7 linked regions of the Mus musculus genome follow. Each later gene encodes a partner of the first gene's protein in a complex. Links are inferred from orthologs where the notes say so. Each region holds a gene or a part of one and is shown in the gene's direction. Other genes may lie near its edges.

The links.
Region 2: the proteins of Vcp (region 1) and Vcpkmt are in contact, whole or in part, in a crystal structure (PDB 7OAT), measured with the Homo sapiens proteins. The link is inferred for Mus musculus from reciprocal best matches to the Homo sapiens genes VCP and VCPKMT. Residues at the interface, in NP_009057.1 of Homo sapiens: Arg239, Gly280, Glu283, Ser284, Arg287, Lys312, Arg313, Glu314, Lys315, Thr316, His317, Gly318, Glu319, Val320, Glu321, Arg322, Arg323, Ser326, Gln327, Leu329, Thr330, Asp333, Pro355, Ala356, Arg359, Phe360, Arg362; in NP_078834.2 of Homo sapiens: Arg14, Ser15, Phe16, Val17, Arg18, Gln32, Tyr33, Ser34, Ser35, Gly36, Gly37, Val38, Val41, Trp43, Asp44, Ile47, Val48, Leu97, Asp144, Tyr147, Tyr148, Glu174, Arg176, Thr177, Met178, Gly179, Lys180, Asn181, Glu209, Tyr210.
Region 3: the proteins of Vcp (region 1) and Derl1 are in contact, whole or in part, in a cryo-EM structure (PDB 7Y59), measured with the Homo sapiens proteins. The link is inferred for Mus musculus from reciprocal best matches to the Homo sapiens genes VCP and DERL1. Residues at the interface, in NP_009057.1 of Homo sapiens: Arg113, Ile114, His115, Phe131, Leu135, Lys136, Phe139, Leu140, Val166, Glu167, Thr168, Asp169, Val176, Ala177, Pro178, Asp179, Thr180, Val181, Ile182, His183, Cys184, Glu185; in NP_077271.1 of Homo sapiens: His240, Trp242, Gly243, Gln244, Gly245, Phe246, Arg247, Leu248, Gly249, Asp250.
Region 4: the proteins of Vcp (region 1) and Ubxn6 are in contact, whole or in part, in a cryo-EM structure (PDB 8FCO), measured with the Homo sapiens proteins. The link is inferred for Mus musculus from reciprocal best matches to the Homo sapiens genes VCP and UBXN6. Residues at the interface, in NP_009057.1 of Homo sapiens: Pro23, Arg25, Ile27, Gln43, Asp47, Gln50, Leu51, Phe52, Arg53, Gly54, Asp55, Leu58, Lys60, Gly61, Lys62, Arg64, Leu72, Glu80, Lys81, Gly97, Val99, Ile100, Ser101, Gln103, Pro104, Cys105, Pro106, Asp107, Val108, Lys109; in NP_079517.1 of Homo sapiens: Pro279, Ser280, Pro281, Ala283, Ser284, Phe286, Glu287, Leu288, Phe292, Phe293, Asn294, Leu295, Glu299, Ile300, Arg302, Glu303, Gln304, Leu306, Arg307, Ser308, Val311, Leu314, Ser315, Val316, Leu317, Arg318, Thr319, Lys320, Ala321, Met322.
Region 5: the proteins of Vcp (region 1) and Rhbdd1 are in contact, whole or in part, in a crystal structure (PDB 5EPP), measured with the Homo sapiens proteins. The link is inferred for Mus musculus from reciprocal best matches to the Homo sapiens genes VCP and RHBDD1. Residues at the interface, in NP_009057.1 of Homo sapiens: Asn33, Asp35, Val38, Phe52, Arg53, Gly54, Asp55, Thr56, Ile70, Leu72, Tyr110, Pro137, Tyr138, Phe139, Leu140, Glu141, Ala142, Tyr143, Arg144, Pro145, Ile175; in NP_001161080.1 of Homo sapiens: Ser300, Glu303, Met304, Arg305, Gln307, Arg308, Leu309, Arg311, Phe312, Asp313.
Region 6: the proteins of Vcp (region 1) and Ubxn2b are in contact, whole or in part, in a cryo-EM structure (PDB 8B5R), measured with the Homo sapiens proteins. The link is inferred for Mus musculus from reciprocal best matches to the Homo sapiens genes VCP and UBXN2B. Residues at the interface, in NP_009057.1 of Homo sapiens: Arg113, His115, Glu132, Leu140, Ile182, His183, Cys184, Glu185, Glu187; in NP_001071087.1 of Homo sapiens: Phe215, Ser216, Gly217, Glu218, Gln220, Leu222, Gly223, Leu225.
Region 7: the proteins of Vcp (region 1) and Ubxn7 are in contact, whole or in part, in a crystal structure (PDB 5X4L), measured with the Homo sapiens proteins. The link is inferred for Mus musculus from reciprocal best matches to the Homo sapiens genes VCP and UBXN7. Residues at the interface, in NP_009057.1 of Homo sapiens: Val38, Leu51, Phe52, Arg53, Gly54, Asp55, Ile70, Leu72, Pro106, Val108, Tyr110, Leu140, Glu141, Ala142, Tyr143, Pro178; in NP_056377.1 of Homo sapiens: Arg418, Tyr419, Pro420, Asp421, Gly422, Arg424, Leu455, Asn457, Phe458, Arg460, Lys462, Gln480, Glu481, Thr482, Phe484, Val485, Gln486, Asn489.

What each region holds. Positions count from the first base shown.
Region 1 is NC_000070.6:42,983,374-42,987,009, reverse strand, and holds part of Vcp (transitional endoplasmic reticulum ATPase), read left to right. Parts: intron 1-730; coding exon 731-864; intron 865-942; coding exon 943-1,078; intron 1,079-1,743; coding exon 1,744-1,856; intron 1,857-2,314; coding exon 2,315-2,479; intron 2,480-2,583; coding exon 2,584-2,706; intron 2,707-3,433; coding exon 3,434-3,636. UniProt on the Homo sapiens protein: Necessary for the fragmentation of Golgi stacks during mitosis and for their reassembly after mitosis. Involved in the formation of the transitional endoplasmic reticulum (tER).
Region 2 is NC_000078.6:69,580,134-69,584,423, reverse strand, and holds the start of Vcpkmt (protein-lysine methyltransferase METTL21D), read left to right. Parts: upstream 1-1,406; 5' UTR 1,407-1,437; coding exon 1,438-1,703; intron 1,704-1,793; coding exon 1,794-1,904; intron 1,905-2,078; coding exon 2,079-2,148; intron 2,149-3,186; coding exon 3,187-3,306; intron 3,307-4,290. UniProt on the Homo sapiens protein: Protein N-lysine methyltransferase that specifically trimethylates 'Lys-315' of VCP/p97; this modification may decrease VCP ATPase activity.
Region 3 is NC_000081.6:57,882,298-57,885,933, reverse strand, and holds part of Derl1 (derlin-1), read left to right. Parts: intron 1-2,387; coding exon 2,388-2,499; intron 2,500-3,636. UniProt on the Homo sapiens protein: Functional component of endoplasmic reticulum-associated degradation (ERAD) for misfolded lumenal proteins. Forms homotetramers which encircle a large channel traversing the endoplasmic reticulum (ER) membrane.
Region 4 is NC_000083.6:56,072,122-56,076,493, reverse strand, and holds the start of Ubxn6 (UBX domain-containing protein 6), read left to right. Parts: upstream 1-1,467; 5' UTR 1,468-1,575; coding exon 1,576-1,658; intron 1,659-1,927; exon of another isoform or gene 1,928-2,070; intron 2,071-3,257; coding exon 3,258-3,421; intron 3,422-3,709; coding exon 3,710-3,774; intron 3,775-3,964; coding exon 3,965-4,093; intron 4,094-4,372. UniProt on the Homo sapiens protein: May negatively regulate the ATPase activity of VCP, an ATP-driven segregase that associates with different cofactors to control a wide variety of cellular processes.
Region 5 is NC_000067.6:82,337,048-82,340,683, forward strand, and holds part of Rhbdd1 (rhomboid-related protein 4), read left to right. Parts: intron 1-1,998; exon of another isoform or gene 1,999-2,249; intron 2,250-3,271; 5' UTR 3,272-3,350; coding exon 3,351-3,636. UniProt on the Homo sapiens protein: Intramembrane-cleaving serine protease that cleaves single transmembrane or multi-pass membrane proteins in the hydrophobic plane of the membrane, luminal loops and juxtamembrane regions.
Region 6 is NC_000070.6:6,189,950-6,194,040, forward strand, and holds the start of Ubxn2b (UBX domain-containing protein 2B), read left to right. Parts: upstream 1-1,155; 5' UTR 1,156-1,180; coding exon 1,181-1,264; intron 1,265-4,091. UniProt on the Homo sapiens protein: Adapter protein required for Golgi and endoplasmic reticulum biogenesis. Involved in Golgi and endoplasmic reticulum maintenance during interphase and in their reassembly at the end of mitosis.
Region 7 is NC_000082.6:32,330,885-32,335,059, forward strand, and holds the start of Ubxn7 (UBX domain-containing protein 7), read left to right. Parts: upstream 1-1,367; 5' UTR 1,368-1,403; coding exon 1,404-1,476; intron 1,477-4,175. UniProt on the Homo sapiens protein: Ubiquitin-binding adapter that links a subset of NEDD8-associated cullin ring ligases (CRLs) to the segregase VCP/p97, to regulate turnover of their ubiquitination substrates.

The sequences.
Region 1 (3,636 bases):
ATGCCCATCTAAAAGGTTTATTTTTATCTGAGACTAGTTGGGGAATATGGGCTGAGCTATCATTGTCTTTAGAATGATACTCAGGTATTAGGGTTCCATTGGGCCTTTTACCAAATCATTTTTGTCATATCCGCAGTTGGAACTGTGCTGTCAAAAGCATGTGGAGTCTCTTGTCTTCTCTTTGGTCTGGCCTGGTAGTTCTTACATGATAATGGGGGTTTGGGGTGGGGGGAGGCTATTAAAGACAGAAATTACTGCATTCTTATTCAGGACCTGTATTTGGGCTAGGGGAAAAAATATAAGTTTCTTTAGGGATTGGGGGAGGACAGATTTTTGTCATTGTTTTAAAAAAATAACTTCTATTTATTGTGTGCTTGAGTTGGAGAGATGACTCAGCGTTTAAGAGCACTGACTGCTCTTCCAGAGATCCTGAGTTCAAGTCCCAGCAACCACATGGTGGCTCATAACCATCAGTAATATGATCCGACGCCCTCTTCCCGTGTGTCTGAAGACAGCTACAGAGTACTCATAAATAAAATAAATCTTTAAAAAAATTTGTATTGTGTACTCATGCACATGTGAAAGTCAGAGGACAACTTGGAGGAATTAGTTCCTTGTTTCTTCTATGTTGGGTCCAGGATTAAACGTAGGTCATCAGGCTTGGAAACAAGTACCTTGACCTGATTAAGCCATCTTACTCCCCCTCATTGTCTATTCTGTATCTCTTCAGGTCCTGAAATCATGAGCAAATTGGCTGGTGAGTCTGAGAGCAACCTTCGTAAAGCCTTTGAGGAAGCTGAAAAGAATGCTCCTGCTATCATCTTCATCGATGAGCTTGATGCCATTGCACCCAAAAGAGAGAAAGTACGAACTTACCCAAGGGCATGGTGAGGACTTGAAAGGTCCTGACCTAGCTTCTGACCAGACATACTGTCTTCACAGACTCATGGGGAAGTGGAGCGTCGCATCGTGTCTCAGTTGTTGACCCTCATGGATGGCCTAAAGCAGAGAGCACATGTGATAGTTATGGCAGCAACCAATAGACCCAACAGCATTGACCCAGCCCTACGGCGATTTGGTAAATACCTTAAAATCTTTCCAACTTTTTTTTTTTTTTTGGTTTTTCAAGACAGGGTTTCTCTGTGTAGCCCTGGCTGTCCTGAAACTATAAACACCAGGCTGACCTCAACATCAAGAGATTCACCTGCCTCTACCTCCTGAGTGCTTGGGAATAAAGGTGTATACCACCACTGTGCAACCCAACCTGTTCTTTCTTGTTGGTACATTATAGTTCTGCTGGGCTTGATTTGCTTATCTCACCTCTGTCTTTCATCTAGGTTACTTAATCTTCACTTCTCTGCCATGATAGGACCTAAGGTCTTTTTTTTTCTCCATTCTATGTTCCCTATAGGGCACTCCCTCAACTTTCCTAGTGCTATAACCCTTTAATATAGTTCCTCATTTTGTTTTGTTATTACTACCTCACAGCTGTAATTTTACTACCATTATGATTCGTGATGTAAAATATCTGTCATGTGGGGTATTTGATATATGACCCCCTTTGAAATGGTTGTTCCACCCCAAAGGGTTTGAGATCCAGAGAAGTAACCACATATATTGTTTTGCCCAAGCCTGAAAGATTTCCAGGTTGTGAGGCATTAATGCTTACTCTTAAGAGAGTTCTGGAATGACTTTTGTGGACCAGAAACTATCCCTATTTTACATTCCCGTATTGTCCTATAGGTCGCTTTGACAGAGAGGTAGATATTGGAATACCTGATGCTACAGGACGTTTGGAGATTCTTCAGATCCATACCAAGAACATGAAACTGGCAGATGATGTGGACTTGGAACAGGTAGAGTGGTGATAATGGCTGACCAGAATTTAGGATAGCTCTGTTTTAGGAGGTTGCAAATTACAAACATAGCCTAAGAAAGAGGCTTCATACCAGAAATACAAACTTGGGGAGCGTGGGCAGAAGAGCCTGAGTTTAAGGCCTGCTGGGCTACACAGCAAGATCCAATCTTTTCATTTTTTTTTTTAGAGCTGGATGGAGATTGCTTTGATTTCAGGGCAGGAATATGTTTCTTAGTTGTTGCTGTGTTAGAGTAAGTATGAGTTGTTGGAGCAGCTTTATTTCCAGCTCCCTAATCCGGCTTGAATATTTAACACCTCTGACAGTAAAAAGGTCTGCTATAGTATATCTCTTCAAGACAATAGGAATCTGAGATATGTACGAAGCATGGGATGGAGTCAGGACTCTGGATAAGGCAGCTGGATCTTGAGGATGGTCAATCTATCTTCTCTTTGCAGGTAGCCAATGAGACTCATGGTCATGTTGGTGCTGATTTGGCAGCCCTATGTTCAGAGGCTGCTCTGCAGGCCATCCGGAAAAAAATGGACCTCATTGACCTAGAAGATGAGACCATTGATGCTGAGGTCATGAATTCCCTGGCAGTTACTATGGATGACTTCCGGGTAAGGACCATGTATATTATCCCAAATTAGGAATATGTATGTGTATTTTGTTGTGTTCTTCACTCCCCCAAGTCTCATCCCCACTTTTCAAATTCCCTTTTTAGTGGGCTTTGAGTCAAAGCAACCCATCAGCACTTCGGGAAACTGTGGTAGAGGTGCCACAAGTAACCTGGGAAGATATTGGAGGCCTGGAGGATGTCAAACGTGAGCTTCAGGAGTTGGTTCAGGTAGGCTAATTTGTTCTAGTATGGTGGGCCATTGCCTCAGCATGTAATAATCAACCTTTTAGGTCTCAGACTTATTTACTAAGAACTGTGTGTATATCTCTGTTAGGTAGTGAGGAGCTGTCTTACTTAGGTTATTACTTCTGCAATGAAACACCATGGCGAAAAAGCATGTTAGAGAAGAAAGGGTTCCACATTGCTGTTTGTCATAGGAGGAAATTGGAACAGGAACTCAAAACAGGGCAGGAGCTGATGCAAAGGCCATGGAGGGGTGCTATTAAGAACCCAGAACCAACAGCCCATCCACAATGGGTGGGGCCTTCCCCCGATCAAAAGCTAATTAAGAAAATGCCTTATAGCCAGATTTTATGGAAGTATTTTCTCAAGATTTCCTTTTTTCAGATAACTCAAGTTGTGTGTCAAGTTGATATAAGACTAGCTAGCATGGGGGGGAAAAAAGCCGGGTGTGGTGGCGCAGGCCTTTAATCCCAGCACTTGGGAGGCAGAGGCAGGCGAATTTCTGAGTTTGAGGTCAGCCTGGTCTACAAAGTGAGTTCCAGGACAGCCAGGGCTATAAAAAACAAAAAAAGAAAGACTAGCTAGCATGGAAGCCTATATGTAAAAATTTTGGATGTTAGAAGACATACCATAAAAATGCTATGCTTCTGATTAATGCGATTTTATTTAAAATATGAGGGTTGCTCTTAAATCATTTTTGCTTTTCTTGTAGTATCCTGTGGAACATCCAGACAAATTCCTCAAATTTGGCATGACTCCCTCCAAAGGCGTTCTTTTCTATGGACCTCCTGGCTGTGGGAAAACCTTACTGGCTAAAGCCATTGCTAATGAATGCCAGGCCAACTTCATCTCCATCAAGGGTCCTGAGCTGCTTACCATGTGGTTTGGGGAATCTGAGGCCAATGTCCGGGAAAT
Region 2 (4,290 bases), on another chromosome or scaffold:
AAAATAGAATGAAATAATAGAATGCACTGTGTTTATTATTTTGTTAAAATTATAAACAGTTCTACATAACCTGATTATAGAAGAAGGGCATGTGTTCATTAAGATGTGCCTTTTGTTTTGCAGTGTATGGTGTTTAGCTAATCATTGTTTAGCTAATGATTTGCCTATTATTTGGGAAGACAAAATTAATATGCCATATATGTACAGTTTATTTATATTGTATATATTTAAAGATAATGCTAATAACCTCTATAAATGTAAGTGACTTGAGGCCTATAATACAATCTGCTATTTGACTAATTTGTAAGTCTGGAACAAAAGTGTCTTATGGCATAAGAACCAACTGCCATTGTCAAACCTATTAACTGTCTTTAATCTCGTGTTAACTGAAATTTTTGAAAAGTTTTTCCAGATTAGTAATATTTAAACAGAAAATACTTTAAAAAGCTTTATTAAATTTTTTAATCAGGATAAAGCTTTGCCATTTGGATACTATCATTCAAAGTGATCAAGGTATGTATGTTATGCTGATAGTGCAGTAGCAGCCATTGTAAAGTAGCCAAAAGCCACGTTGTTTATCTACTGGTCTGTGGCCTTTTACTGTGCTTTGTATCAGAGTTCTTAACAAGATTAATAAATCACCTCAGTCTTAATTTGTAAAAGATTTGCAATATTGTTTTTCATCACAAAGAGCAAGGAGAAGCTGGGAATAGTGGTGAGCACCTGTAATCGCAGAACTTGGGAGGTTAGACGGAAGCATCTGGACTTAAAGGCGACTCGACTACGTGAAGAGTATGAAGAGTTTGAACCTACTTGGGATACAGGAGGCCATCCTGAAAACAAAAAAACAAAAAACAACAAAGCTGAAAAAAATCTAGAAGAACGAATAGCTATCATCTGTTTATTACGTGTGTGTGTGTGTGTGTGTGTGTGTGTGTGTGTGTGTGTGTTCATACTAGAGATCCAATGTGACAGGCCAACCTGCAGGTCTCTCCTTCTACTATGTGAGTCCTTGGTCTTGCTGGCCATCTTTTGGCCCCGTGGGATGTAAAAGGACTAACTTTTCTTTACCATTAAAAGCAAGTAGCACGTTCCCAGCCACCACGTTTATGCATTCATATGAAAAGGAAGCACAGTAGGAAAACTTCTTGAATATAACCATTTTTAGATAGGACCTGGGTAGCTGCCTAGATCTATCGCCAGCGGCTCTGTGTGAGCCGTTCTCCAGCTATGTATAAGCACTGTCGGTCGCTTTGCTTCTTAAAGTGCCTATCATTGTAGCAGCAGCTGGGCCACTCCTGGGTAGGTTCTGCTGCTTCCTGCGGACTTTGAGAGTCACGCATGCGCCTTGGGCAGCCGCCCTGCCGCTGGGAGGTACGGGTGCTGCGTGGGCGTGACGTTACCGCGTGCCGCAGCCTGCGGCGGGCCGGGGCAGGGATGGCGGCCGCCGTGGAGCCGGAGGTGGAGGACCCGCTGTGGAGCTTTGTGCGGGTTCTGGAGAAGCGGGATGGGACAGTGCTTCGGCTGCAGCAGTACGGCTCCGGGGGCGTGGGTTGCGTTGTGTGGGACGCCGCCATCGTCCTTTCCAAATACCTGGAGACGCCGGGGTTTTCTGGCGACGGGGCCCACGCGCTGAGTCGGCGCTCGGTGCTGGAGCTGGGCTCCGGCACGGGGGCCGTGGGGCTCATGGCTGCGACCCTCGGGTAAGAGCTGGCGGGAAGGCGCTGGTCGCCCAGCATCAGGTCACCGGCGTGCAGCCTTGCGCCTGTACCTCAACGAGGTTGTTTTTTTAGGGCAGATGTTATAGTCACTGATCTTGAAGAGCTGCAGGACTTGCTGAAAATGAATATTGATATGAACAAGCATCTTGTGACTGGTTCTGTTCAAGCCAAGGTACTGAAATGGTTTGTATGGCCTTTCAGCTTGTTTTTAAGATAATCGATCGCTTACATGGGCTTTAAATTGCATTTTACACAACGCTTGCTTAATATGAGGGGAGCCTTCTGCTTCTCGTTTCTAAAATGAACACTTTAAATCGTCAGAGCATCAGTTAAAGACATACGTTTGACATTTTTAAGGGGTGAAGACATAGAAGACTTGATGTCACCAGACTACATATTGATGGCAGACTGTATATACTATGAGGAGGTGAGTAGTGGTCGAACTGGTGTGTCCGAAAGCCCACAGCTCTCCGTGGTTTAACACCTCCAGGTGTGGGATATTTGTTCTATAGATGATGAGGCAGTAAAGAGAAGTTAAACTATCAAAGGCAACACATTCGCACAATTCAGGATAGGCATACAGGCCTGCCTGTGCGAGGTGGTTGAGAAAACTTGCGTGCATTCTACTGGAGACTTTTTGGAAAAATTTAAAAGGATTTTCCGATTTGCATATATTCTAGAAAACTAAGATACCTTCTGTTTGTTTGTCTGTTTGTTCATTTGTTTTTCTTTTCCCATTGACTGCTAACTGTGACTTTGGAAATTAATTAAAATGCAGGTTGGCTCACTCCTAGAATCCTAGCACTCACAATTGCCATGAATGCTAGGCCAGCACAGAGTGAGACGCTCCAAAATTAGTTATTCTCAGTGACAACATTTTATTAGACTTGTGGAATGATTTTCTTCCCATATCAGTTTATGCAGTATTGGACAGTATTTAGTTTTAAGTTGATGCCTTGAGCCAACTGATGATCAAAAGGGTCAGCAGTTAAGAGCACACACAGTTCTTCCAGAGGATCCAAGTTCAGTTCCCAGTACCCACATCAGGCAGTTCACAGCCACCTGTAACTCCAGCTCCAGGAAGATCAATTCTTCTGGCCCTGCAGGCACTAGCACATACTTAGACACAGGCAAATACGTGCATATAATTAAAATAACAAAAATTAAATTTAAACCATTAGGGTCAGGCTTGCTTTGGTAGAATAAATAGTTGATTGTTTAAATACCACATTAACTTAGATGAAGTGAAATTAGACTTGTAAGACTTAAGTCTAGCAAGATGTGATGGTACAACTTAACTAGAAACCAGTATAATTATTGGTAGTCAGGGGTTGTTTACCAGTCTTGTTTGATAACCTTGCTTTGTTTTGTTGGTTTAGAATGGTTTGACTCACCTCCTGACCCTTTCCTATCACAGGAAACTCTTGACGTAATAAACTGAAAATGGTATTTTTTTTTTAAATAGTCCTTGGAACCACTGCTGAAAACATTAAAAGATCTCAGTGGATCTGAAACTTGTATTATATGTTGTTACGAACAACGTACAATGGGGAAAAATCCAGAAATTGAGAAGAAGTATTTTGAGGTGAGTATCGTAATAGGTCTGTCTTGGTAGCAGTTACCCTCTGGGGGAGCTGGATGCGGTCGCTGCGGTATTTTAGGCAATGTGATGTGGGGGAAACATTCTCTTGATTAGAACCCAGGGAGACGTTTCCACAGCCCTCCTCCCACTGTCTCTGACCTTGCTAGGCCAGGTTTGCTGGCTGTTCTCACAGTCCTTACTGTTGCACTGCGAGGTGCCAGGGGCCAGTGATGACAAGCTTGTCTTCTGAGACAGTTTTCAAGGCTGCTAAACACGAGACCCTTTGGGAGTTTCTCAGCAGGGTATTTAAAGCTTGCATGATAGAATGGAGGTGGTGGACCTTACTTGTGTATTTTCCTATATATTTTTATTTTACATAAGTAGCGATTTCCTGAGCGTTGTTGTTGTTTGTGTTTGTTTGTTTTAAAGATTTTTAAAAATTTTATGTATATGAGTACACCAGTGCTCTCTTCAGACACACCATTACGGATGGTTGTGAGCCACCACGTGGTTGCTGGGAATTGAACTCAGAACCTCTGGAAGAGCAGTCGGTGCTCGTAACCGCTGAGCCATCTCTCCAGCCCCCTTGTTGTTTGTTTTTAAAGTTGGAAATGAATGCCTGTCTTGTCTGTCTTTTATACGATGTTAATTCTCCCCTCAAGTGGCACCCATACCCTTTTATGGGCACAGATGCAACCTATGAAAAACTGGCTCCTTTTGAAGCTGCATCTGTAGTCCTGAAATTCTGTCTGCTGGAAGGACTACTTTTGTCTAATGACAAAAACAACTATGTGACTCCTTCAGATAATATGTGCTATATGTTATAATATATAAATAGGCTTAATTATTAAGTAAATATAATATATTCCATGTTTTTCATTAATATGGGAAAATGTTACTCAACTTTTGAAATTATAATTTTAAAAATCCAAGTAATTCATATTTACTTAAAACATGTACAGTGCACATATATCAGGTTCTCAGCTC
Region 3 (3,636 bases), on another chromosome or scaffold:
GAGTGGGCTTGGCAGCTCTGTATCTGCCGTCTTCCATTCTAGCAGCCCCGCATCGTTAGCAGCCCTCTTCTGTTTGTTGTGCTCTTGCAGTTCTTGGGGGCTTTGTGCCAAGAGTGTATTTTCCCTTCCTTGTGCCAACTCTTGCTCATTTTGACAGTCTTCCCCTGATTGATCCAGCCGTGCTTTTCGTGCTTGGCACATGATAGTATGCCACAAGACACATAGCTTTTAAGTCAAAGGTCAGCATTATTCTGTTTTCCACTGTCTAGGGGCCATCACTTTATTGTTTAATAATGTTTTGAGATAGAAGCCAGTGAGTGGTAAGGGTGAAAGGGGAGAAAGCAGAGACTTTTTTGTTTGATTGTTTTTTTGTTTTTTGATAGACTTGTGTGTTTGGCGAGGTCAAGAGGTTCAATTTTCAAATGTTACTTGCTTTGGTGGTTGATTATGACAGGAAAAAGAGAAAACTGCAGAAAGCCATGAAAGATAGGCAAGAGTATGCTAGTGTCACAGGGATAAGAAAAGAGAGATGTTGGATCTGATTTTCTTTAGAATAGTATCAAGACTAGCCAGGAAAAGGATTTGGAAAGAAAGGAGAGGACGATCATTACATTTTCTTAGATACGAAAATATATTTATTAAACCAGGAATTAAAATAACTTAGTATAGGCATTCATTGTAAATTATCTAATCTAAAAGTAGGCTTTAAAACTGAACATGTTTCTATCCATGAAAAAAAATCTTAGCGACTTTGCAAGCATGATAGTGATGGGTGCATTTCCTATGTTAAACTTTTGTGTTGAATACACAGCAAAAGTTCTATAAAATCAGTGTATTTTGGAATAAATATACTATAAAGTAGATATTGCTGTATAAAATACAGCAAAAGTACTCTAAAAGCATGAGTCTAATGACAGAACAGAAAGTAACAAGAAAATTTCCATAATACACACAGAGATGCAGATCTATCAGGGTAGTGGATGTGCCTTTAAAATGTGTCTTTAAAATGAAGAAAGATGCTCAGCTTTCTCAAAGCAAACAAAGATTAGTTTTCAGGTTAGTGGCTGTAAATATCCTTTGTGGAGAATATGTGTAGAAAGATAGCAATCGTCTACATTTTAGGAGGAAGTATAAATTAATTAAACATTTCTGTAGACATTTGGCAATATCTACCAAAATAAGTGCATATGTCTGTTGATCTAACAGATTGATTCCCAGGCATTTATTCCATGTGTGTGTGTCTGTGTGCATGTGTGTGTGTGTGTACAGAATATACAAGAATATTCATCATGGCATCATAACAATTTAAATGAAGTTTGTCTACCCACATATCCACATAAAGAAAGTCTGTGAAGCAAATAGAAGTATTTTGTCAAGGGAATGAAGACATAAAACTGCGATTTAAAGCATGGTGAGGAGGGAGGAAATGGCAGAGCGTTCACAGAAACGGGCTGTGCGTGCTCGCACGCCTTTGAATTCTAGCACTGAGGAGGCTGAGGCCAGCAGGCCGACTGAATGTTCCAGGAAAGCCTGGCCTTTGACGCTCTAAAAACTAAGGCAAGGCGTGGTGTCGTGTACCTTAAATTCCAGCATTTGGGAAACAGAGCCAGGGAGATTTCTGAGTTCAGGGCCAGCCTGGTCTACATACTTCAGGACAGCCAGGCCTATGTAGAGTGATCTTTCTTGAAAAAACAAAAACACCCAAAAGCTTGGCCATTTGGAGCAGGCAACTCTTGTAATCCCAGCAAGTCTTGATCCTGAGGCAGGAGGATTGAAAATGTAAGAACAATCTGTGCTGCATAAGTTTAAGGCCTCCTGTGCAATGCAGTGAGTCCCTCCTCTCTCAAAATGTGAAAAGAGAGTTTGGACCAATCTCAGTGGTAGAGTGCCTAGTCCACCTGGGTTCAGTTCACAGGGTTGCCCCCAAAGGAAAGCAGTTAGTTGTTGTTGAAAATAACATTTGGAGATTGGAGTTAGGACTTCCCCTCTTCATGTTTGTGTGTGTGTGTTGCGTTGTTTCCTTTTGAGCCCATATGCCTAGTTAGCACTTTGTTTTGATTCCTGTTAGCCTCTAGCATTTGAGAATGCTACTTTTAATGAGGATTATCTTTTAGCCCCGTCTTAGGCAAGGCCATATATTTGCATAGTATTGTTTTTGCTAACTTGTTTAAAAATATTAACAGATGATTTTGATGCCCCATTATCTCATTGGCCTGTGAACTAATGATGTGTAGGCAGCGGGAACTACGCTGTCTCCTCATACTGTGATGTCACTTTAGCTCGCCTTGAAAGAATGCTTTGCATAGTGTGATTTTGTTTGGTTTAAATAAGAAAAGTGTTCATCCCAGGTCAGAGGAACTGACAGCTGTTTGTTTTGATCTCTTCAGATATGGAGGCCGTTCACTGCCACCTTTTACTTCCCCGTGGGCCCAGGGACTGGATTTCTGTATTTGGTCAATTTATATTTCTTATATCAGTATTCTACTCGGCTTGAAGCAGGTAAGTTACCTGTCATTGTCAAAGTGTTGTTTCATTCTAAGTTACTGATTCATTCTAAATATGTTGCCTTGGATTTTCAGGACCATTAATATTATATAAAGAAATGTGTATTGATAGTTCTTGCATGCTCACTGGGTCATGACTGTATTAGGCTAGTAGAGTATTTTTGTTTTGTGTTTTTGTGTTTGTTTTTTTTTTTTTGGAGACAAAGTCTCATCTATCCCTGGCTATAACCAGTTGACCTCCAACTCAGAGATCCACCTGCCTCTACTTCCTGAGTCCTGGGATTAAAGGTATGCACTACCATGCCCAGCCATATTGAGTTTTTAATCACAGAATGAGTTGTAATTTGTTATAAAAAGAAATAATATCAGATCAAAATTTTGCATGTCCTTCCATCTCCTGATTGTCTGGGTTGTGTTCTTATACTTACTCTTGTCTTTGTCCTGCTAGAATGAAGCCAGGCTAGAATGTACGTGTCTTTCAGACAGAGTGCGAGGCAGTTCAGAGCTTAGTCTCCTTCTCAGGGGCTGGAGAGGATGGTACAGTGAAGAAAATGCATTTGTGAGGACCGGTCCAGAACCCTTCAGCCACGCAGATAAGCTGGGTGTGGCACTTGTGCGCCTGCAGTCCAGTGCCTGGAGACCAAGACCCCTGAGGATCCTGGGGGGCTCTCTCTACCTAGAGGAGTCAGCTGTTGGGGTCCATTTTCAGTCAGAGGCCTTGCTCAAAAAATAAGGTGATGAACAATAGAGGAAGATTCTGATGGTGACCTCTGACCTTCACACATGCAGCATGGGCACCTGCACATGCACACATGCATATACTACACATGTAGTATACATATGCTACGTGTTTACATGTAGACAACAGCTTTAAGGCAGGATTTGTACTGCGGTAGTTTTTCCAAATATACCATCTTGTATGATATAATAGAGAAGCAATCCAGTGCTTTACAAGTGTCTTGTTGAATTAAGTATTTCCACAATACCTTATATGCTAGCTTGAGTTGCTTATACAAGGAAGCAGTAAATTGATACCCTAGTCAAAATACAGATCCACTTTTGTTAAATGTAAGTGATTTGCAAAGTTGGCTGACTTCAGAGATTTTTATACAACTGCTGGCTCTTGCTTAGG
Region 4 (4,372 bases), on another chromosome or scaffold:
GCAGGTGGATTTCTGAGTTCGAGGCCAGCCTGGTCTACAAAATGAGTTCCAGGACAGCCAGGGCTATCCAGAGAAACCCTGTCTCTCAAAACAACAACAACAACAACAAAAAGGTTTGTTGGGGCTGGTGAGATGGCTCAACGGTTAAGAGCACTGACTGCTCTTCCAAAGGTCCTGAGTTCAAATCCCAGCAACCACATGGTGGCTCACAATCATCCCTAACAAAAATCTGATGCCCTCTTCTGGAGTGTCTGAAGACAGCTACAGTGTACATACATATAATAAATAAATAAATAAATAAATAAATAAATAAATAAATAAACAAATCTTAAAAAAAATTATTTGTATGTGAGTACACTGTTGCTCCCTTCAGACAAACCAGAAGAGGGCACTGCATCCCATTATAGATGATTGGGAGTCATCATGTGGTTGCTGGGAATTGAACTCAGGACCTCTAGAAGATCTTATCCGCTGAGCCATCTCTCCAGCCCACATCCTGGCTGCCTTCTTTAAGGTGCTCCACTCCTCTCTTCACTGTAGCTCTTGGAAACCTGTCTTCCACAGTTCTCATCAAATGCCTCCATTGCTCTCCTCCAGCCATGGGGCTTGTTTCCTTGAAATCACCAGGGTGTCCCATCCTTCAGCTTTGTGCATTTTTGGATCTAATGGTTGGCAAAACTAATAAAATTATTAACAGCCTGGGTAGCCCACAAAGCTGCTTTATCTCTGACAAATTTCACACCAACACAGACGAAAGCTTGCCCATAGGCACTTCAGTTACATGATCCAAAGACCACAATGCCATGCGCATTAGGGTAGAATTACATGCACACAGACAGGGGGTGCAGAAGAGCTCCTGGAATCTCAAGTTTGTGTCCAATGACCCACTTCCCCCCTTCTTTCTAATGAGTGACCATTAACAGTGAAGTATATGATTTTGGGGGTCTCTTGCACAGTCACAGTGATTCTGATCTAGATGATGGCTGTTTTTCACATGAACAGTAGTGTTCTAAAAAGCCTGAGTCCAGAGCATCCAACTTTTTGTTGTGTGTACACACCACACGAGATGGAAGTGTTGGAGGAGATTAAACTCAGCTTTGCACATGTTGAGCAAGCCCTGTACCAACTGCGGTCTCTGCTTTGACCTTGCCTGTACCAATCTCTCTGTCGGCTCCTTCTAGCTTGTCTCTCCCAGAGCAGATTTCAGGCTCATGCACAGTACATTCATACTCATTTTCTCTGTAGTATGGACTGGCCTTGAACTCCTGACATCCACCCTGGTTCCAGTAGCTCTGGGTACTCTTCTAGGCTGCTCGCTGTTTGGATGCTCTCTTTAAGCTCCCCTGGTGGCTGCTGCGGTCTTAAGGGAGGCGAGCCTGTCGCCCCGGCAACGGCGTCCGCAGACAGGAAGATGGCGCCCCGCCCGCGCGAGGTGCTGCAAGGCGATTGTCACGTGAACCAGGCGGGACTTCCGTCGCCGCGATATTTTCTTTCCGGTGGTTGGCCGCCTGCTCCTCATCCACCCGGGCCCTGCGCCCTCCGCCCTGCGGCCCAAGCCGCCGGGCCGCTGCCGCCATGAAGAAGTTCTTCCAGGAAATCAAGGCTGACATCAAGTTCAAGAGCGCGGGGCCCGGCCAGAAGCTTACGGATTCCGCAGGGTATGTGACGCTGGTTGGGCGACGGAGAGGGCGAGGGCCAGGGGGCAAAAAGGGCCGGCGGTTGGGTGTCAGGGTCTTTCTAGGCTATGCTTAGCAGGAGTAGATTGGTGGGTGGGGTGTGGAAGATTGTAAGGCAGGGGCGGAGCCTACAATGAGGGCGGGGCGTTGTAGCAGTGGTGGGCGGGGCAGAAGGGAGGGCAGTTGTGTGGTGTAGCACGGGTGGGCGGGGCGCTAAGGGTAGGCGTGGGCGGTCGTGGCCAGGGCGCGTTGGTCACTGCTTAGAGACTCTTGGTTCTGGGTGGTGAGAAGGGACGGGGCAATGCCCAGAATTTAGCTAAGAGAAGAGCCGCCTAAAGGTGTGGCCTTGGCGAAATGTGGGTAGGAAGGACCTAAGAGAAGGTGTGGGAAGAAGGTCTGTGAGAGATGTTAAGACTTCTTTGTAGGTTGTGTGGTAATCTGGGAGGGGTTGGGGAGTGAGAGAGGATTATAGAAGGATCTTGGAGGAGTGTGGAAACCAGAGAGGCCCAGACCCAGAATGTTGTTGAGTGGTTGGGGTGACAGGTGAAGATGGGATCTCTGTGGGGGCCTTGGCAACTCCGGGTCTTCCAGGAGTACTTTCCTGGAGTTCTTTCCGGAGAACTTTGTGTTCTGGAGAGGGAGGTAAGGCATGTTGGAGCTGCTCAGAAGGGGTGAAGTAGAGATTGGAGACAGCTACAGGCTACCAGGGAGTAGTCTGCAGGAAGTATATGTGGAGGAAAATGACAACCAGCGACTGGGGCTGAATGTGAGGAGAAGGAGGGGCCTGCAAGCCAGGGCTAGAAGGGAGGTAAACACACCAGGGTACAGCTACAAATAGTGGGGCAGTTTCAATGATGAGAGGAACATGGAGGTTCAAAGGATCCTCAGGCCAGAAGTTGGAGGGGATGGTCCAGTGTCCGTGATCTGTGTGTGATCTATAAAAGTAAATGTCACTTTTATTTCCTCAGATGAAGTGATGAGAGCTGCAACCATGCTCTGTGAACACAACACACTGCTTGGGCTGAGCTCAGAGCATTATCCATGTTCTAACAACTATCCCAGGAAGCTTCTAGCATCTGTACAATCTAATTAACCAAGCTGACTAATTCAATTTGGCTTCTCTCAATTTCTCACTGAAGTGCTCTGCTTGGACTCAAACTAAGTCTGGCAGTCTCTTCTAATCTTCTGGTTCCTTCTCATTCTCTCGCTGCAACCTGCCTCTGAACTGCACTGGCAGGCTGAACTGCTTTCAACTCTCTCTCTCTGTGCTGCCTTTTGAGTCCTCTCTTTCCTGACTGTTCTCAGAGTTGGGTGTAATCTATCCCTGACTCATTCTGTCAAATTTTTCTGATTCGTCACTGTCTGCCACTCAATTAGATGCCACTTTCAAACATGACTTCTTCCTTCTACAAACTAACCTTACCTACATTGTTAGGGATTAAAGATACATACTATGGACCTGTCTGCATTCCAGCAAGAGAGATTAAAGATTTGTTGCATGTCTGCATTCCTCCCACATGTTGCTTGATTAAAATTCCTCTATACACCGTTTTGCAAAATTGGGTCCCTATGTCTGTTCAGGGAGAAGACCACCAAAGGAAAGTCACCACAGCTGGCCCTCCGGCAGCCCCGTCAGGGCCCCACTGATGAGGCACAGATGGCTGCCGCTGCTGCCCTGGCCCGGCTGGAACAGAAACAGCCCCGAGCCCGGGGCCCTACATCTCAGGACTCCATCCGGAACCAGGGTGAGTTCTGCTCTAGGTGGCATCTGGGGCAGACTGAATCCAATGGGAAAGGGTCCCCAGAGGGTAGCTCTGAGTCCCATGTGGCAGAGACACCATTAGTTCTTGCTTGGATGGAGACTTGGAGAAGCAGGGACTAGATTCTACCTCCTGGACATTGGGAGGGAGAGTTGCTAGCTCTCAGACCAGCCCCCTCCCCACCCCCCAACTCCCACCTTTGCACCCAGAGGCTCAGCCTCTGGGTTCAGGATGGGTCCTTACTCTGTCCATATCACCCCTTCCTACTCTCAGTGAGGAAGGAACTTCAGGCCGAAGCCACCTCCAGCAACAATCCAGGAGCTCCTGGGACCAACTCGGTAAGGTTATCTGCTGGGGACTGCCCAGTGTTCTCGGGCAGTATGGAGGCAGCTGAAGCCTGGGGAGGGAGAGCTTCATGCATATGAGCAGTACCTGTGGCAGTGGGGAGGAGACAGACCCTTGGAAAGGAGGAGTGACAGCGTGGGCCTATATGTCCAGCTATAAGAGCCTCCTGTCTTCTGTCTTCAGGTACCTGAGCCCAAGGAGGAAATCTCTCCCCATTTGGCAGTGCCTGGTGTGTTCTTCATCTGTCCGCTCACAGGTGTCACCCTGAGGAGGGACCAGCGGGATGCCCACATCAAGCAGGCCATCCTGTCGGTGAGTGACCCGTGTTCCAGCTACTGGACACATGCCCATCAACCCTAGTGTCTTAGTCACTATTCTACTATTCTATTACAGTGAAGAGACACCATGGTCAAGGCAGTTCTTACAAAAGAAAGTATTTAATTGGGGATAGCTTAGTTTCAGAGGTTTAGTTTGTTATGGCAGAGAGCTTGGCAGCAGGCAGGCAGGTATGGTGCTCAACTGGAGTAGCTAAATGCCACATATCCTGATGTGACAGACACCCACCCCCCAGTGACAAACTTCCAGCAAAGC
Region 5 (3,636 bases), on another chromosome or scaffold:
CCTTTCTTATAGAACCCAGGATCACCAGTGTAGGGGTGACACACCCAATGAGCTGGGTTCTCTGCCATCAATCACTAATTAGGAAGATGTCCTAAAGGCTTGGGTACAGCTAGGTCTCATGGAGACATTTTTTTATTTGCGGCTCTTTTCTCTCAAATGACTATACCTTATGGCAAGTTGACATGAAAATAGCCAACACACTTTCTTCAAACAAGCTGTGTATTGTAGCAGGCATTGGTTAATGGAGAAATCAGTTACTGTCCAAAGGGCTGAGCGTAAGTGACGGGGTAATGTTCTGCCCCAACTTGGACAACTGTAATACCTGCATTAGTTATGTCTCTGTTGCTGTGATAGAACACCGTGACTGGGGCAACTGACATAAGAAAACATTAAATTGGGTCTACGGTTGCAGTGGGTTAGAGTCCATGATGACAGAATGAAGCCAGTGTGGGAGGAACAGATGAGAGCTCACAAAAGCAAGGCAGAGAGCATACTGAAAATGGCTTGATTCCTTTGAAGCCTAAAAGCTAGCCCTCTGTGACACACCTCCAGCAAGGCCACACCTCCCAACCCTAACCAAACAGTTCTACCACGTTGGGACTAAGTATTCAAACGTGAGCCTATGGGAGCCACTCAAACCACTGCAACACCATCAGAGGCTCAGGGAACGCCTCAGAAAAGGGAAGAGCAAAGAAGGTAAAAGCTGAGGGTGGGGAGGGAGATGTGCAGAGAAAGGATGCCTTCTGGATGTGAGAGCCAATGCCCTCATGAACTCACTACAGCCTTGGTTATATACACAAGGCTTGATTGGACTGATCAACCATTCCTCATGGGTGAAAGAGGGACCAACGAGGCCACACCCCTCTGCAAAGGATTATCAGCAGTCAAAGCTTATTGGGGGGAGGGGTATCTCTTTCTAAAGTGGTGTAGCCACAAAGTGGCCCTTGATCCATTCAATAGCTTTGTCCCACGCCCCAGCTCTAAATTCACAAGAAGAAAACATGAAAGTACAAGTGAAGGGCACTTGTGTGGAAGGTGCCAGTGGGAGAGGAAGGAGTAAGCTGGTAAAAATGACTAAAATCCATTATTTAATATATAAAAGAATAAAAAACAGGAAGAAGTGCATTTTGGGGGTCCAGAGTATATTTGAGCTTTGTGAGAATTGTCTTTTGCAGGTTTGATTTCAACATAGCTGATAGTGAAATGAGAATACTAGCACTTTACCATCATTTCCTTTGCCCCTAGGACTTCTAGCAAGCCTGGGATATCACTAGTTATTCCAATTTAGTATGAGGATCCTGAGAACCAGCAGCATTAAGTGATGGGCTATTCATAGCACTCCTAAGAAGACACTTTGTAAAATTAATGTTCTTTAAATTTTTAAGTTTTGTAATTAAAATATAATTCCATCATTTTCTATAAAGCTTTTGCATTGTCTAGTATGCTCAGTTACTGCTACCTGGAGTTGGGAGCTGAGAAATTGCCACAGGAAAATACATGTTAGTAAATGAGCACTTTCTGGAACATCTTTCAAATCCCTTGTCTACTTTTCCAGTATCTGTACCTTACTCCCCCCCCCCCCCCACCTTCTGGTTCTTTTATTCAAACACTTGATCCTTTTTATGGCCCTGTTAGACTGTCCCTATCTCCCCCACCCCAACTCCTCACTACCTGCTTCTTGTGAACAGGAACCAATCCCTGTCCAAAATCAACCCCTATATTAGTAATTGCTGCCTACCAAACCACTCCAGAACCACCCTCACTTTGGTTCAAATTAGGAAGGGCCCATGGGACTCCTGTTTACATCTGTGTCACCTTAGACTTCGTTGAGTCTGAGGATTAGCTGACGGTGGCTGGGACCAGGGATCATGAGAGGACCAGAGCCTGTGCAAACTAGCCCAGACTCGAGCCCATACTGGAAGCCTGCAGTGCATCTTGGGGCTAGGTTTAGGCTTTTTGTATTATCTGCCCTCTGCTCTGTCATCCCAAGCGTGTCACAATGCCAGCCCCAGTGGAGAGGGTGGAGAGGAGGACCACTGCCTCATGGAGCTCTTCCTTGTCACTAACTCAAATGAACTCTGTCAGACAGTAGTCCCGTCACCACCTTCTGCACAGTTGTGTATCCCTGCTCTTGCGTTCCTTCTCTGTGCTTACAACACCCTGAGCCAGTGGGTGTTTTACTTCCTGGTGACAAGTGAGCATAAAAAACAAGGACTACATTTTTTTTCAATGTAGGATTTGGCACATACGTAAGTTTTTATAAGCCATGACTAAGAATTTGGGGGCATGGACACCTGTTAGTATGAAGATTGGATTAGACCATAACATGCTCAGAAATCTTAAAACCTAGTTTTTGGCATTTTGAGAGTTTCTGCTGAAAATATTAGAAGAGATAAGGAGACTTGGCAGGGATTTGATAAAAAAATATTTGTCTACTCTCCTTGTAAATTTACTATCAGAGTCCGACTTATCATTTTCATCCTTTTTATGTGTATACGATGTGTGTTTAGGGTTGTATGATATGTGTACATGCATATGATGAGTGTGTATGACAGCATCTGTGAGTGCTAGCACACGTGTGCCATGCCATGCATGTAAATTAACGGTCAGAGGGCAACCTCAGATGTTGGTCCCTTTGGTTGAGGCAGGGTCTCTCACTGTTTTTCCTGCTGTCTACAGCAGGCTAGTTGGGACTCTGCTGTCTCTGTCCCTGCCCTCATCACGGGAGCCCTGGTTCACAGATGCAGGCAGCCATGCCCGCTCTGTATATATTTTGGATAATTGGATTTAGCTTTTCATGTTTACACAGCAAGCTTTACACCCTGAGCCTTCTCCCTTGTCTTGTTTTTTCCCATTATTATTACTATTGTTGTTACTGTGTATGTATAATGTGTAGATTGTGGATATGCATGTCACGGTGCATCTGTAAAGGTCAGACGACAACTTTGTGGAGTTGGGTCCCCCCACCTTTGTGGGTCCTTAGCTTACCAGGCTGACCCCCCCCCCCTTTTTTAAATTAGTTTCTTTTACTGAGAAAGACGCATTACAAGTTCATGACTATTATGGTCAAGGAAAGCATACCTGTCCTTAAGTTCACTTGAATCTGGGATAAAATTTCTATTTTAGAATGTGAAATGGAAAGAGAAGTTAGTAATATCCCTGTTGGACTCAGGCATGCGAGGCCACGCCAGCCTGTGCCCATCTTCTAGCGCGGGTCTGAGCAGTCGGGCTGTTCTCAGGTGATGAGTTTTGCATGCCCTGTGTGTTTCAGGTGCAGTTCTCCGTGTACCTCCCTGGGTTCCTAATCCTCTAGCACAGATCCTTATCCACGCTCCTGATATCCTGCAGTCATGCAGAGGAGAACGAGAGGGATCAACACCGGCCTCCTCCTGCTCCTCTCTCAAGTGTTCCAAATTGGGATCAACAACATTCCGCCTGTTACCCTCGCAACCTTGGCTGTCAACGTCTGGTTCTTCCTGAATCCTTGGAAGCCCCTGTACCATTCCTGCATCAGCGTGGAAAAGTGTTACCAGCAGAAAGACTGGCAGCGTTTACTGCTCTCTCCCCTGCACCACGGAGATGACTGGCATTTGTATTTCAACATGGTGTCCATGCTCTGGAAAGGTGTGAAGCTGG
Region 6 (4,091 bases), about 37 Mb from region 1:
TATCAAGACAGCAATGCAAGGTTTGGTAACTTGTACTGCTAGTTTCTAGTTTAATTATCATTTGCCTCGCTCAAGTACATCATTACATACTCAGCAATATGAGTGGAGCACTGTTGAGTTAACTGAACTGGGGAGAGGGACCATTATCCTTTGCCTTCTGAGTCTCAAGCTGAAAATAAAACTGAACTAAATAAATTTTCAGGAGAAAAGGACACACATTTTATTTTTTTTAAAACAATCATGTGATTAGCGTCTTCGTGGGAAACCTGAAAGCCTGTGTGGCTGTATCTACATACCAGGGGCAACCAAGAAAAGTAGCTAAGATGTGGATTTAATTCTAAAAGGTCTGTTGCAGACCTCTCAGTTTCATCTTCTCTACCTCATAAGTTTTTGTTTTTGTTTATTTTTTTTAAGTGCTCGAAACTCAAAGAACAGCCAAGGCAGCAGGCTGTAGGCTCCCACCTAGCATGGTACACACAACAGGCACCAAGAGAGTATTCTCCATTCACATACAGTCCGCGAGTAATAAATACTCTTTGCAAAGTAAAGTGTACTCTGTTACCTGCTTATATCTTTCTTTCCCTTCCTAGCTTATAAATTTCATAAAGGCTTCTTTTTTTTTTCTTGGGAGGCAATTCTTGGAGGTGTAAGTGTCTGGGACTTAAGATGAGAGTTAAGTCAATCCCAGCAGAAAAGAAGATGGCTTAAGAGTCTCCATTCTCATTGCCAAAAGCTTTACCGTGTTTCCTATCCTCAATACGGATCCACTCAGAAGGACTAATTTACCATCCAATCCTGGATAAGGGAAAATGACAGATAAGGGGAAATGAAAGGTGGAGTTGTTCATCTGCTAAGATATTGCATTGTTGAGTTAAATGAACTTGGAAGACAACGCTGCGCTCTAAAGGCAACCTACAGCATCTCCCAGCGAGTCGAATGGTGACTATAGAGAGATCTCAAAAACTGAAAAACTGGCGAGCCCTGCGGACCGGAACCCTACAGCGAGTGCGCACCGGCTGGTGGGGGGAAAAGGAGCCCGGAGGAACACCACGAACCCGGCACGGCTCCGCCCCCTCTCCAAGGCAGTGGGAGTCACGGAGTGGCTCCGCCCCTTCCACAGTCGCTAAGCAACCAACCCCGGAAGTCGCGGTCCGGGGCAGGCGCCGCAAGCGGGTGAAAGATGGCGGAGGGTGGCCGTGCGGAGCCGGAGGAGCAGGAGCGTGGGTCCTCCAGGCCACGGCCCCCAAGTGCGCGGGACTTACAGGTGCGCAGGCATGGAGCGCGGCGGCGGCGGGCGAGAGGGCGTGGGCATGGCGGGCGCGGGCCAGAGCCACTTTGTACCTCACCTGAGCCTGTCTCCGGAGAACTGGAGGGTCTCTCCTGGAGGCGCATTGCGGAGGGGTGCGTGTGGAATCCTGTGCCCTAGCCTCAGGCGGCGGTACAGGGGTTCCCTTCACGCTGGATGCACAAAGCAAATGTCATTTTGCCGAGCCATCTGGGTGCCTCCCAGCTGATGCTGCCTGCATTTGGGGAGTTGCTGTGGCCAGTGATAAATCAGCCATCACTAAAAAAGTAACTTTAAAAATGACGCGTGCTGGTTTGTTCTCCTGGATGCTTTTTCACGTTTGATGATTTATACATTAAAAGCACTTTCTTCTCCAAAAGCCTGCGGTTTTGCAGGGGAGAGCTTAAAACAGTTCAGGCTTTGGTCACAGCTCGCTTGAAAGAGTTCACAAAACAGCTTAACAGAAATAAAACTCAGCAATGTTAGGATGCTGGCATTAGCTAAACACTTGTCCGATGCTAATACTGCTTGTCCATTTTAGCCTTTTTTTTCTATCTCCTCATGAAATCATTGATAAAACTCAAACGATTAAACATATATTAGGGGTTATAGTTCAGAATAAATGAGCCTGGATTCGCAAACCTTGACAGAGCATTTTTATAGCAGGTCTTCATTCTGTAACCAGACGTACTGACCGTTTGCCATTCTAACTTTGTGCTGAAGCTCTGGGAAATGTGGATACAAATAGGACATCAAATCCAGAAGTAGTAGTGGATACTGTTGTGTGCTATCAAATTTTGTGAAAGGTCTCAGATTTGAAACAGGCTTGTAAAGCAGCTTTACAGACCAAGCCAATGCAGAATTCTAATGGTATTAATTGAGCACTGGTTGGTTCCGGTGACCCCGGAGCCAGTTAGCTCGTTATCTTAGAGTAATTGTCACTGTGATGAAACACCATGACCAAAGCAGCTTGGGGAGGAAAGACTCATGCTTCCACTCACAGTTCCTTATCAGACAGGACGTCAGAGCAGGAACATGGAGGCAGGAGCCGATGCAGAGGCTATGAAGGGTGCTACGTACTGGTTTGCTCCCCAAGGTTTCTTCAGCCTGCTTTCTTATAGGACCCTGGGCTCACAGCCCCGGTTTGGCACCACCCATAGTGTGTGTGGCCCTCCACCATCCATCACTAATTAAGAAAATGCTCCAAAGACTTGCCTACAGCCTTATGAAGGCATTTTTTTTTCATCGAGCCCCCCTTTCCCTGATATCTCTGGCTTTGTCAAGTTGACATAAAACTAAACAGCACACTAGTGAGGCAGTGTATTTTCTGTGTCTGGCTTGCTAGTTTTCATAAAGTCACATCTTATTGTCACTTGGAGTTTTCCCAACATGCTCTGGGTCTAGAAGCTGCCTCATTCAGGAATTCTATTTTGTTTTATGAATAATCTAGGTTTAATTGTCCTGAACAGTCTCTATTTTAACCACATATAACCTTTTGGACACCTTCATAACTGTTTGGAGAACTAAGCATAGTTTGAAGCATCACTGAATGCCAAAAAAAAAACAAAAAACAAAAAACAAAAAAACAAAATAAAACAAAGCAAAAAACAAAACAAAACAAAACAAAACAAAACAAAGGCAGTTCAGAAGATGAACTTGGAGAATGCAGAGATCAGCATCAGGTAGGAGATAAAAACCAGTGAATTAATGACCAGCTGAACAGAAATCTATCTCAGCTGCCATTCAGAATAGTCTGTCAGCCTCTACATCAGGAAGGAGGGTTTTAGGAAGAGGGCTATATAGTTATCTCCTGAAGTGTCTCTCTGTTGTGACTTCTGGACTGTTTCTAAGGCTGTTGTGTAGTGTCCTCCAGGCAATTCGTCATAGGGTTTAAAGTTGTTTAAGGTATTTAATTGCATATTTCCCAATGTTCCTCCAGAATAATATCAACAGGATTGCTGCTCTTAATTCCGTGTTTCCATCCAGATTAGCATTTGGGGAGGAGTAAACTTGTCTGAGGCTATCTAGATCACTGGTTCTCAGTGAAATAATGTCCCTGGAAAGGCTTGATAAAGCAGACACTAGCGCTCATACCCATATCTAATAGGTACAGAGTGGGACTTGAGCATTATGTATTTCCCAGATTCCCAGGTGTGGCTAGTCTGTACAGTTAACTTTACTGTGTTTTCTACAATGTAGCATAAGGCTGAGCCTTCTAGTTCTCTCTTGCTGTGTTTCTGCCCTTCACAGTGACTTAGATTCAGGTTACCTTCCAGACTGGAAAGAATATCAGTCCTTGACTTGGGAAGAATTGGAGCAAGAATGTCTCTTACTTAGGAAGCGCTGGTTTTGTCATTATACTTTTATCTGGTACTTGAATTAATCTTCTTTATTTAATTTCAAATAATATAATCTCAGGAGTGCTCAGTCTCTGTGTCTAATAATCTACACTTTAAAGAGTATCTCTAGCTGCATATGTAGCAGAAGATGGCCTACTTGGCCATCATTGGGAAGAGAGGCCCCTTGGTCTAGCAAACTTTATATGCCCCAGTACAGAGGAATGCCAGGGCCAAGAAGTGGGAGTGAGTGGGTAGGGGAGCAGGGCGGGGGTGGGGGGCGTATAGGGGACTTTTGGGATAACATTTGAAATGTAAATGAAGAAAATAATAAAAAATAAAAATAAAGATTTAATAATCATGAGTGGGCCCATGTCATAATCTGTGACTGGTGCCAACTCCTTCTGAAGAACTTGTTCAAGTCTCGGGAAATAATGCTTGGACCACGTTCTTAGTGTTCCTTTTCTACT
Region 7 (4,175 bases), on another chromosome or scaffold:
TTTGGCTTATACTTCTACATTGCTGTTAACCACTGAAAAAACAGGGCAGGAACCTGGAGGCAGGAGCTGAGGTAGAGGCCATGGAGGGGTGCTGTTAACTGGTTTGCTTCCCATGGTGTGCTAGCCTGCTTGCTTATAAAAGCAGGGACCACCAGTCCAGGCATGGCACCGCCCATAGGCGGGCCCACTTTCACTGGTCACTCACTGAGAAAATACAGCTGGATCTCATGGAGGCTTTTCCTCCCCTGAGGCTCCTTTTTCTCTCACGACTCTAGCTTGTGTCAAGTTGACACACCAGCAATGCAATAAGTATTTAGAATTGTGCAAGTTACACACTATTACCTTATTTAAAAATAAAGTATGAAAACTAAGCTAAATGCCCCTTTCTTTTTTCTTTCTTTTGTTTTTTTAAAGATTTATTTATTTAAATGTAAGTACACTGTAGCTGTCTTCAGACATTCTAGAAAAGGGCATCAGACCTCATTACGGATGGTTGTGAGCCACCATGTAGTTGCTGGGATTTGAACTGAGGACCTTGGGAAGAGCAGTCAGTGCTCTCAACTGCCGAGTCATCTCATCAGCCCTCCTAATGCCCCTTTCATCATGTTTTTTTTTCGAGACAGAGTTTTTCTGTGTAGCCCTGGCTGTCCTTGTCATTCTGTAGACCAAGCTGGCCTCAAACTCAGAAATCCGCCTGCCTCAGTCTCCCAAGTGCTGGGATTAAAGGAATGTGCCACCACTGCCCGGCTCATCAAGTTCTTTTTTAGTTGTAACTATTATCGGTGTTTTCAGGACCACTTTCCAGTGTTCTCTTTATTTTATTTACTGTATCTGCATATATCTTTGTTTAAGGATAAAAAACAACTCCCCCCCCAAAAAACCTCCCGATTTAATATCTTTAGAAAGTAAGAATGAGCCTGGGGGGAGATATACTGAGACATTTGTTGAAGAAAAACAGAGCGAACAATCATTTACTAAAGTCTACTATAGACTGGTTCATTTTTTACTAAGCTATTAACTTACACTTTAGAATTTAAGAAACGTCACATAAAACCAAACAAAATACCTACTTTATGTGAAACCCTGAGCGTTTCATCAAGAGTTTGGTATTTCAGGTCTGAAGATTCTTTGGGATGTTGGGATTCAATGCGGTACTTAGGAGGATATCTCCGGAATTCAGAGAAGGCACCAAATGTTTCAAAGAATAGCTACCAGCCAGCAGCACAGGCTTCAAACCAAAGCGGCGGCTCGCGGAGAGTACGCCTGCGCAAAACGCGCACAGACAGGGAGAGGGCGGAGCTTCGGGCCTGCCAGTGCGCCTGCGCACAGCACGCCGCGGAGTGGGGGAGGGAGCCCCGTGTGTGTCTGTGTTGTTGTTCCGCGGCGGCGGCGGCGGCGGTAAGATGGCTGCCCACGGGGGCTCCGCGGCGTCGTCGGCGCTGAAGGGGTTAATCCAGCAGTTCACCGCCATCACCGGTAAGAGACGCGGTTACGGGAAGGTGAAGAGTCGGCTACGGGGAGGCTGTCGGGGCTGTCCCGGGCTTCGCCTCACCTTGGTGCATTCCTCACTCGGGCTCTCCCCTCAGCTCCTGCCCTCTCCTGAGGCACAGGCGACGACGGCGGCGGCGGCCGGGGTCTGCGGTTCAGGCGGGAGGCAGGTTTCCCCCGCCCCCACCCCGCGCGTGCCCCTCAGTCCCTGGATTCGGTCTCCCCTTATTCCCAGACAGGCCCCCCACGCCCCCAGCCGGTCCAGTACAGGGGATGGGCCGAGCCCGCGGTGCCAGGGGCCCGGGACCTGCGGGCCGGAGGAGTAGGGGGCCGCACCCGGGCCACCGCCCTCTTCCTCCCTCATCACCTCCTCTCGGTATCGTGCTGCCCGCGGACCAGGCGGTGCAGTCCGTTCCCCCCATGCCATCCTCTCTTCCCGGCCAGGTCATCGTCCCTGTCCCTCGGCCCCGGCCTACCCTTCCCCTCGCTGGGCCCCCCCGGAGCCTTGGCGGTGGCCCTGCCGTGTGAGGGCCGTCTCGCTTTAACGGTGAGGCGGGTGGGTTCTGCTGCGCCTTCACACATCCCGGGGGACTTGCCGCCGGGAACAAGGGGTGCGGAGGGGCACCTTAGGGACCGAGGGTTTCACATAGGAATAGGGGGGGGGGGAACCCTGAGCTTAGTGTGTGTGTGAGGCCTAAAGTAATCCTGGGTGGCCTTTCCCACCTCCTCATAATAAAACCAAACATCGAGACGATGGCGCCCGAGTCTTTGCTGATAAAATGGGGATGGCGGCAGAAACTTCTTGCAGAGAAATCTGTTTCTAGGTGTCAGTATCCGTGAAACCTTAGGCCTAGGTTTCTCTTTCCCTTCGGACCCCGACGAAGGGCAAACGCAGGTTCTCTTACCCGCCGGGAGGAAAGACTTTAAGCCATTCTGTGAATGCGCTATGTCTTGTTTCTCTCCGATGGTGCTGAACTTTTTTTGCATGAGTTATTAGAGGGCGGAGCAAATGATGAAGTTCTCTGTGGAGTGATTTGAGAGAACAGTACTCCATGTGCCTGAGTGTGATTTTGCTGTTCTAGTTTGTCATTTTGAAAAGAGGTCAGAAAGTTAGTTCCCCCTCTCAACAGGACTATCCTTTCTTTGATAATAATTTGTTTGATGCGGAGAATATTTCTAGTTTGTGTTCTTTTTTTCTAGTTTGTGTTCTTGAGTCTGACGTGTAAGATCTTTATTTTAACCAATACATGCTATTTGCAGTTTTATAATTGAAGCTAGTTTTATTTTTTGTTCGGCAACGATAATTAAGTGGCTGATGCGTTGTTTTCTGTCTTGTCACATGAAATATGTCAAAGCTGGTAAAACAAGATTTGTAATAAAATTGAGGTGAAAAGTAAGATAACTGAAATGTTGTTAAGCTTTGTGGTGGGGTTATTTTATTTATAATAACATGTGGATTTCCCAGTGCCTTACCAAACCAACATTATGGAAAGAAACTAGATTTCTGTGTATACAAGTTAATACTGCTACATTGCTTGCCTAAAAAAAAAAAAAAAATCTAGTGAGTCACACAGAGAAATATTAATCTTTCTTTGGATTTTATAAATATAGTTTAAGGTCTTACTATTTAACCTTAGGATTTTTGGGCAAGTTACTATTACTTTATTTTCATCTGTGAATTGGAAACTCAATTGTTTTAATCTCACATTATTTCTTCTTCTTCTTCTTTTTTTTTTTTTTCTTTTCTTTTCTTTTTTCTTTTTTGGTTTTTTTGAGACAGGGTTTCTCTGTATAGCCCTGGCTGTCCTGGAACTCACTTTGAAATCCAGGCTGGCCTCAAACTCAGAAATCTGCCTGCCTCTGCCTCCCGAGTGCTGGGATTAAGGCGTGCCACCATGCCCAGCTCTCACATTATTTCTTATGCAACATTTTCAAAATATATACTCAGGACCCAAAATGCCTTGAAATAAATTTAATACTAATTTGTTTGCCAGTTTAGTCTATACATCTTGTTTTTGGCCTAGTCCTCTGTGTTGCTGGATCAGATTGAAGTTCCCTGTAGGTAATGATTTCTGCAAATGTACAGAAGAAAAAAAATCCTTCAGAGTGATGTTTTGTGGTGTCTAGTTACATATATACAAAATTTACACATATAGTCATAATAATTCAAGAGGTAAAAAGATAGAGCAGGTAAAAAAATGAAAGGCAAACACTATTGTGTTTATAAAACGATAAGGGATGTTTGGTGGAGGTGTCGTCAGGTGTGGGGAAGGGGGTGCCTCCGTGGACCCAGGTTGAGGCATCCCTTCACCCTGGGGGACAAGCCAGTATAGTATAGAATAGAGTTTATTCAGGGCATGGGGAGGGGAGTTGAGAGGGTAGTAGAGACAGAGAGAGGGAGAGGGAGGGGGAGAGAGAGGAGGAGGAGAAGAGTAGTAGAGAGGGCAGCCATGAGCACATGGAGAAGGTGGGGGCGGGGGGCAAGGAGAACGAGAAGAGGTAGATCAGAGGACAGAGGGAGAGCAAGAAGGCAAGAGGGCAGAGGGTCAGAGGGGCGAGCAGCCCCTTTTATAGTGAGTCAAGCATACCTGGCCCTTGTAGGATGGATCTTAGACAAAATGCTAAGCACCACAGTGGCACATACTTGTAATTTCAGTACTTGTTCATGGCTGCCCTCCATTGTATAA